2 linked regions of the Oryctolagus cuniculus genome follow. The protein of the gene in region 1 interacts with the protein of each later gene in a pairwise test. Links are inferred from orthologs where the notes say so. Each region holds a gene or a part of one and is shown in the gene's direction. Other genes may lie near its edges. The genes, in order: KPNA5 and ANP32B.

Region 1 (3,803 bases):
GGAAGTATTCTTAGGTGTTTAAATCTGGTTGAAATTGATCCCTGTTCAAAATAAAAGCGAGTATAAGAAGGGAGGAGCTGTACAGTTTGGCACATGTTCCCTTGGACTTAACCCTGAGGGTAAAGCTAAAAACTTGCCATGGTACTCCAAATCCTATTAAGTTGGCGGGTACCAATGCCATCTTACTAAAGTGATCAGTTTAAGTTCTTTTTTTTTTTTTTTTTTTTTTTTTTTTTTTTTTTTTTTTTTTTTGACAGGCAGAGTGGACAGTGAGAGAGAGAGACAGAGAGAGAAAGGTCTTCCTTTTGCCGCTGGTTCACCCTCCAATGGCCGCCGCTGCAGCCGGCGCACCGCGCTGATCCTGGCAGGAGCCAGGAGCCAGGTGCTTTTCCTGGTCTCCCATGGGGTGCAGGGCCCAAGCACCTGGGCCATCCTCCACTGCACTCCCTGGCCATAGCAGAGAGCTGGCCTGGAAGAGGGGCAACCGGGACAGAATCCGGCGCCCCAACCGGGACTAGAACCCGGTGTGCCGGCGCCGCAAGGTGGAGGATTAGCCTATTGAGCCACGGCGCCGGCTTCTAAAGTGATCAGTTTAAGTTCTAAATAATGTCGGGGTCTGTGGCCTCAAGATGCTTCCATAGCCTTGGCAGCTCATGACAAGAGCCTTGGGTGATCACTGACGTCATAAATAGGACTGTCAATTGTTAAATCAACATTAGTCACTGTGCACTCACTCCCCATTTAGGACCTCTGTCCTTAATGTGTTGTACTATAAGAATTGACAGTAAAACTAATCTTCAAACAGTACTTTATATTTTCTGTGTCTGTGTGTGCAAACTGTTGAACTCTTTACTGAATACAGAGTCAATCTTCTGTGTATAAACATAATTAAAATGAATCTTAATGAAGAATGAGATAGGAGAGGGAGTAGGAGGTGAGATGCTTTGGGGGTGGGAGGCTGGGTATAGGGGGAAGATCCACTATAATCCAAAATTTGTACTTTTGAAATTTATATTTATTAAATAAAAGCTTTCTATAAAAAAGTAATATATCTTATTTATATAAACTACTTGCTGGAGAACACTTGATTCTCAATAATAAGCAGTTTTCTGAAGTATAAATTCAAATGTGTTTATATTTTCCTTATATTCTGAGTTCTTTTTTTTCCAGAGTGAAAAAACACTTTTTTTTTTTTTTTTTTTTTTGACAGGCAGAGTGGATAGTGAGAGAGAGAGACAGAGAGAAAGGTCTTCCTTTGCCGTTGGTTCACCCTCCAATGGCCACCACGGCTGGTGCACTGCAGCCGGCGCACCGCACTGATCCGAAGGCAGGAGCCAGGTGCTTCTCCTGGTCTCCCATGGGGTGCAGGGCCCTAGGACTTGGGCCATCCTCCACTGCCTTCCCGGGCCACAGCAGAGAGCTGGCCTGGAAGAGGGGCAACCAGGAAAGAATCCAGCGCCCCTACCGGAACTAGAGCCCGGTGTGCCGGCGCCGCTAGGTGGAGGATTAGCCTATTGAGCCGCGGCGCCGGCGGAAAAAACACTTCTTAATTAAGAGTTTCTATATAGGAAATCCAACTTCACAGTGAATCTGAATAATCAAAATCAGTCTTTCTTTTAGATTTGTCTAACTAAATCTTTAGTCTTTTCCATTCTGATATTTCTTTGGTGTTTTCATTTATTTCACTTTTTGTCTCTTTAGTTTGAAGCTGCATGGGCATTAACTAACATAGCATCCGGAACTTTTCTACATACCAAAGTAGTGATTGAAACAGGGGCTGTTCCAATTTTTATCAAACTTCTTAATTCAGAACATGAAGATGTTCAGGAACAAGTAAGTTTCTAATTTATACTGTTTTATGAGCTATATTTAAATTTTCAAAGTACCATTTATGATTATATTCCACTTTTGTATCTAATTGCCTGTACTGTGCATTTATTAAAATATAGTAGTTTCTTTGTAGTGCATAATTGTAAGAGCAATGAATTGTCTGAGGCATAATCCTGGATTCCCTGTAAGTGATCTCATCTAGCACAGGAATTACTATTCCTATTTATAAAGCACAGTACTGAGCCACAGAAAAGTTAGTAACATATCCATCATAGGGAATGGCTGAACCAGGTTTTAAACCGGGGCTAAACTGACTCCTTATTCTTTGCATGTATGTGGATTATTTTGTTGTTACTTTTAAAATATCATTTTACTTTTAATAGAACCATTTTCATAAAATTCATGAATAAATTTGTTACGAGGGAAAATTTAGTATTATATAATTGTACTCTTCTAAGAAAATCAAGTATTGGCATTTTTGTTTTAAGCCTTTCTTTTGTTTTGGAAGCCTTTCTTCTGGTGTTATTCTTCCAAGAAAATTTTACTGATTAATTAATAAATCCACTTAGATATGTACCATATTCTATCTAGTCCTCAATTGTTGTACATTTGAGTTATTTTTAACGTCATATTCTTAAGGAAAAGTGATGAACATCATTATTTATCCATCATTATTTATCTTTCTTAATGTGCCTTTATATTGGTTCATTAGGGAAAATGACTACTCTGTCAAAAGATAGAAATTTCTTAAGACTCTTAGTAGCCTCCAAAGTTGACCAACAATATTATTCTAAGTAATGTTCCATCAGCAATCTATTATACTTCATGGGGTAGATAGTATGTTTACTTTAAAGACAAGCTTAGTTCTACTAGAGTAGATGTTAAAAATATTAACTCATGTTTTAAATGTTAAAATTAAAGTTTCTCAGTTGAAGAAATAACATGTATTTTTGTATTTATATAAAATATTTAAGTGAAAATATATTAAAATGATAATTTGCAAAATTTCTTATTTAAGTGAATAATTTGACATTTTGCTGTCATTCGTTTTAAAACATATAGTGAAATCTTAATCCTAAATTTATTTTCAGGATCAATCTAAGCTATTGCCTCATTTTTCTTTGTCTTTATTTACTTTTGTTATTTTACAAAACAGTCCCTTTTTTTTTCTTTTTTTTTTTTTTTAAGATTTAGTTATTTAAAAGTCAGAGTTACACAGAGAGAGAAGGTGAGGCAGAAAGAGAGAGAGAGACATCTTCCATCTGCTGGTTCATTCCCCAATTGGTTGCAATGGCCAGAGCTGCACCGTTTTGAAGCCAGGAGCCAGGAGCTTCTTCTGGGTCTCCCACGCGAGTGCAGGGCCCAAGGACTTGGGCCATCTTCTGCTTTCCCAGGCCATAGGAGAGAGCTGGATTGGAAGCAGAGCAGCTGAGTCTCGAGTGGGCACCCAGATGGGATGCTGGCACTGCAGGCAGTGTCTTTATCCTCTGTGCCACAGTGCTGGCCCCGAAACAGTCTCTTCTAATAAGAGAAGTTCTTGGCAAATTTCTAGTATAAGTAATTGGAAAATTGACCAGATAGATGGTTTTTGTCTCTCTATGTGGATTCAGAGTTGACAAATTTACTTTGTTGAATAGTACTGACATTCCACTGCTTTGGAAGAAAACTTTAAAAATACTCTCACTTCCAATTTCATTAGAAATAATATTAAATTAAATTTTGTAGATTTTCTTTTCTTATTGCCCTGGCTTTTAATTTCATATATTGTTGAAAACTATTGCTTTGTTCATTTTGTATTAAAATTCCCTTCTTAGAGAAAGCATTTTATTTAAGGTACTATTTTAAAATAACACTTTTTTCTTGTATTGCTAAGGCTGTTTGGGCACTTGGTAATATTGCTGGTGATAATGCAGAATGCAGAGATTTTGTTTTGAACTGTGAAATACTTCCACCTCTTTTAGAGTAAGTACTTT
Region 2 (4,491 bases), on another chromosome or scaffold:
TAGTTCCACCTCTTGGTGGGGGTACTGCTTGCGGTTCCTGGGCCTCGCTTCTCCATCGGTGACATGATGAAAGGGTCACCTGCCTGACAGGGTTGTCAGGGGATAACACGAGAAAGAACGTAGCAAGCCCCTAAAGGTGCATGCTTGGTAGCTGCCTGTAATTTTTTGATAAAAGCCCTCATTGCCTGGTTCCCAATGACAGGTCCCCAGGTGCCTTCCCGAGGAGCACACCCCTCTCCACTTTCCCTCTCCACGGCTGTGTGGCTGAGACTACAAGGAGAGGAGGAAACTCCCAACTGGGAAGATTCGCCTCTTTCCGTAATCCTTCTAAAACGTCCTCTTGAAATGAGAATTCATTATCATAAAAACTGATATGTAATTGCTTCAAAACTAAGTTTGGGCTATTTATAGTCTGCCACTTGGGTAAAACCACGGGGGAAGGGGCTTCAGTCCCATAAAACTATCTCAGTTAATGCATGGAGTTTTTTCTGTAAAAAACTGCCTCTTGTCCACACTAGAAATAAGAAGGTATCCGACTGCACATACCATGCTGTTTATTTACTTTCTGCTGAGTATAACTCTACGGCCCGGACCTGGGGCTCTAACCGTGGGACCCCTGGAGCCGGAGCATGACAAAGGCGGCCTGACAGGCGTCACCAAAATGGATACCACCGAGACTCGGCGTGCCTCACGGGGGGCCCTAGGTTGTAACTGCGCTAGACGTGAGCGGGGAGAACGGTGTAACTGCGAGGCCCCCCCCACCCCCCACGCCGCCCCGCGGAAATGCTCATTGTTTCCTTCGGAAGTCCTCTCGGGCATCAAAATGTCAGAAAAGCGAGGGAGAGCCTCCGCGGCGGGGGGACGCTCGGCGGCTCTGAGGCTGAGGCAGGCGGCCGGGCCCGGGGCCAACTCCGCCCGCTGCCACGCGCTGCAGCTCGGGCCCGCCGCGATGCCGCCCACCCCTGGGTCCTGGGCTGCGCGTCCGACGCCACCCGGCCCAGGAGGCGCCAGGGTTCGGGCCGTCGGCCCCCGATTGTGCAGGGGGAGGGGGTGGAACGGAAGGGCGACCCCCAGGCCCCCGCGCCGAGTTCTCTGCCCATCTCGCGCCTCCGCGGGCGTCGGGGGAGCCTCCGCGGACCGACTCGCCCCTCGCGACCCCCGATCCCCGACAGGAGGGCCTCCCGCCAGCCCTGCCCCACCCCATCGCAGAGCACAGCGAGGCGGGCCGGGGGTCTCGGCCCGGCGGCAGGCGGAGAAGCCCCCGAGCAAGGTCTTACATCAGCCGCCCCACGTGCAGGCGGAGGGAGGGAGGAAGTCGCTCCCCTCCCCGGGGCTGCGCCTCCCCCCGCCCCCGCCCCGCCCTCCCGCCGCGCCTCCCCGCCCCGTCCTCGGAGCAGCCGCGGCCGCGGAGCCGAGCGGCGCCGCGCGGGGCCGAGTGGAGCCGAGCAGCCGCCGCGCCGCGTCGCCGGTTTAAGCGCAGTGCGAGGCCGCGGCCGGGGGCGGCGGTAGTGAGAGCAGCGCTGCGCTCCAGCCCCCTTTTCCCTCCATGGTTTCTCTCCGCTCCCGTGAGTAACTTGGCTCCGGGGGCTCCGCTCGCCTTGCCCGCACGCCGCACGCCGCCTGGGACCGCGCCGCCGGCCTCCGCCGCGAGCAGACCCCCTTCCGACGGCCTTCGCTGCGCAGGCCGGGACGCCTCTCCCCCCTCCGCCCCCGCCGCGGAAAGTTAAGTTTGAAGAGGGGGGAAGAGGGGAACATGGACATGAAGAGGAGGATCCACCTGGAGCTGAGGAACCGGACCCCGGCAGCTGTAAGCAGAGCCCCCGTCGGGCGCCCTTTCCCCCCCGATGACTTGCATGTAATGGTGGCCACCTGCGGGGGCCCCGGGCCGCGGGTTCGCGGGCTCCGGCGCGGGGAAGGGCGCAGCTCGCGGGCTGGGACGGGGAAGGCGGGCGGGCGGGCGGGCGCGGGCGGAGGGGGGGAGCGAGCGCGCGGGGATTAACTCTTTGGCGCCCGCGGGCCCTCGCGGCCGCCCGGGGAAGGCGACGGGGTGAGGGAGCGCAAACTTTGAGCTCCTCGCCCGCCGGGGTCCTCTCCCGGAGGGAGCGCGTGTGCGTGTGGCCGGCGGCGAGAGAAGGAGGCGGGGGGTTGTGTAACGCTGGGAGCCATGTTTGCAGCCTCCCGGGATGCGCGGCCGGGCGGAGGCGGGCCTGCCCGGGAGCCGCGCGGCCATCCCCGGCTGGGCCCGCCGCCGGCCACGCCGGACTCCGCACGCCCCGGGCCGGCCCCGGGAGCGGGAGCCGGCGGCGGGCAGGGCGGGGGGCTGCGCCGGCCGGGCCTCGCGGTTGGCGTCGGCCCGGCCGAGGGCAGGGGCCGCGGGGGCGAGCAAGGGGGCTCTGCTCCTTTGAAGGGGGCCAGAAGCCCCCTCGGGCGCTGGGGGGCCCGGGCGGGCGCGGCCTGGCGCGCGGAGCGGGGGAGGGGCGGGCCTGGGCGGCGGAGGTGGCGCAACCGCCGCCCCTCCCGAGGCCAAGTTTGAAAAAAGGACGCGGTTCCCGCCATTTTTCAAGCCTAAAAATAAAACTTTCTCCCCCATTGCCCTCGCTCTCCTTTGAGACGCCCTCAGCCATCCTCCCTGCGGCCCCCTCAGGGCGGGCCACGGGCAGGCGTTGTGGCGGCGGCCGGGCCCTCCCCACCCCCGCCGTCGCAGTCGCAGTCGCCGCCGCGGAGCCCGGGGGCCCCTGCCCCGGGAGGCTGGCCCCTCGGTGTGGGCGGGCGGCGGCCGCTCGCGCCAGCCCGGGCGCGCCACAGGCCGCCACAGCGCCATGTTGGCGGGCGCCCGTCTCCCTCCGCCGCGTGAGGCGGCCGGCCGAGCGGCTCGGAGCTCCGGCGCGGCCCGCTCGCCCTCGCCCGCCGCGCTTTCCCGGGCCGAGCCTTCGGTGTGTCCCGTCCCGCCGGGGCTCGGCTCGCACTGGCGGTCGCCGCGCGCTACGGCTGCAGCCGACTCGTCCCCTCGCGGGCGCGCTGCCGGCGCCCTCCCCCCTTCTTAAAAGGGCAACGGCAGGCCTGGCGCGCGGGCGTTCGCGCGGTCTTGGGGCCGGCGCAGGGCCGTGCGGTGGCCTGTGCCCCCGCACGTGCCAGGGTGCGGCCTGCCGCGGCCGGCCTCGGGCCGCTGCTGCGTGTGCGTGGGCCCGGCCCGGGAGCGTCGCCTCTTGTATCGCAGCGAGCGCGAGCCCCCGCGTGGAGAGGCGGCGCGCGGCCGCCCGAGCCCGCGGCGGGTGAGTCGCTGGCGGCAGGAGGCCGCGTGGCGGGTGCTCAGGTGGCTGTGGTTAGCAAGTTGCACACTTGGTGGGATCGGCCGACCGGGCTGTTTACCTGCAGGCCTTGAGGTCAGCGGGCGCGCGTGGTGGCGCCCTGAAACCCCGAGTTGGGTGGGTGGCCTTTTGGCGGGTGTCGGGGTCGAGTCAGACATTTTGTGCCCGCCACGTGCTGCGTGTTGCGTGGTTAGACACCTTGAAGAGCTCGTTCTCACCTGGAGGGCTTAACGCCAGAGTTTCCATTATTGCTTGGAAGTTGGGAATCAATACAGTATCTAAATTTAGCCAAAATTCCCCCTAAGAAAGGTGCACACATAGGTCTTTTTTTTTTTTTTTCTTTTTTTCTGCCAGACAGTGAGAGAGACAGAGACAGAGAGAAAGGCCTTCCTTCCGTTGGTTCACCCCCCAAATGGCCGCTACAGCCGGCGCTGCGCCGATCCAAAGCCAGGAGCCAGATGCTTCCTCCTGGTCTCCCATGCAGGTGCAGGGGCCCAAACACTTGGGCCATCCTCCACTGCCTTCTGGGGCCACAGCAGAGAGCCGGACTGGAAGAGAAGCAACCGGGACTCGAACCCGGGGTGCCAGCGCCGCAGGCAGAGGATTAGCCAAGTGAGCCGCGGCACCAGCCCAGACATAGGTCTTTAAAATCTAAATTTCTGGATTCTCAAACCAAAAGCCTGCTAAAACGCTCGGAGCAAGTAGTTTTCTCTGCTAAATAAGTGCCACTGCTGTTCCCAGTCCATGGTGCCCTTTCTCATATGGAGCAGTATAGCTTTAAAAATATGTGTGTGTGAAAGTATTAGTTTTTTCAAGTAATCAGTTTAGTTTTTGACCACCTTGCCAAGATGCGTGTGACTATTAAAGTTTTAATTAGGCCAGTCGTTGGTCCTGCCCCATTTTTACTGTTCAAAGAGCAACAAGTGGCCAGAGGGGCCGGCACTGGGCCACAGAACCCTCTGGCTTATTGAATATTTGACCACCAACAGGATGCCGGGGTCTGTGAAGCCAGCAGGGCAGGACAAGAGTGCCTTCTCTCCAGCTCCTTGGAGCCTGTGGCGCCCACATTGGTGCCTGTGAAGTGGGGGTGAGGCGGGGGGTGTTAGAAAGCCCTTTAGTGTCCTGGGAGCCAGCCAAGATTGCAGGGAACAGCACGGCTCCCTCTGGGGCTCTGATGTGGGCG

Evidence for each region.
Region 2: the proteins of KPNA5 (region 1) and ANP32B interact in binary tests that used the Homo sapiens proteins (3 or more experiments, as listed by UniProt). The two-hybrid records come from large-scale screens. The link is inferred for Oryctolagus cuniculus from reciprocal best matches to the Homo sapiens genes KPNA5 and ANP32B.

What each region holds. Positions count from the first base shown.
Region 1 is NC_091436.1:53,689,763-53,693,565, reverse strand, and holds part of KPNA5 (importin subunit alpha-6), read left to right. Parts: intron 1-1,701; coding exon 1,702-1,833; intron 1,834-3,703; coding exon 3,704-3,792; intron 3,793-3,803. UniProt on the Homo sapiens protein: Functions in nuclear protein import as an adapter protein for nuclear receptor KPNB1. Binds specifically and directly to substrates containing either a simple or bipartite NLS motif.
Region 2 is NC_091432.1:201,785,851-201,790,341, forward strand, and holds the start of ANP32B (acidic leucine-rich nuclear phosphoprotein 32 family member B), read left to right. Parts: upstream 1-1,395; 5' UTR 1,396-1,753; coding exon 1,754-1,807; intron 1,808-4,491. UniProt on the Homo sapiens protein: Multifunctional protein that is involved in the regulation of many processes including cell proliferation, apoptosis, cell cycle progression or transcription.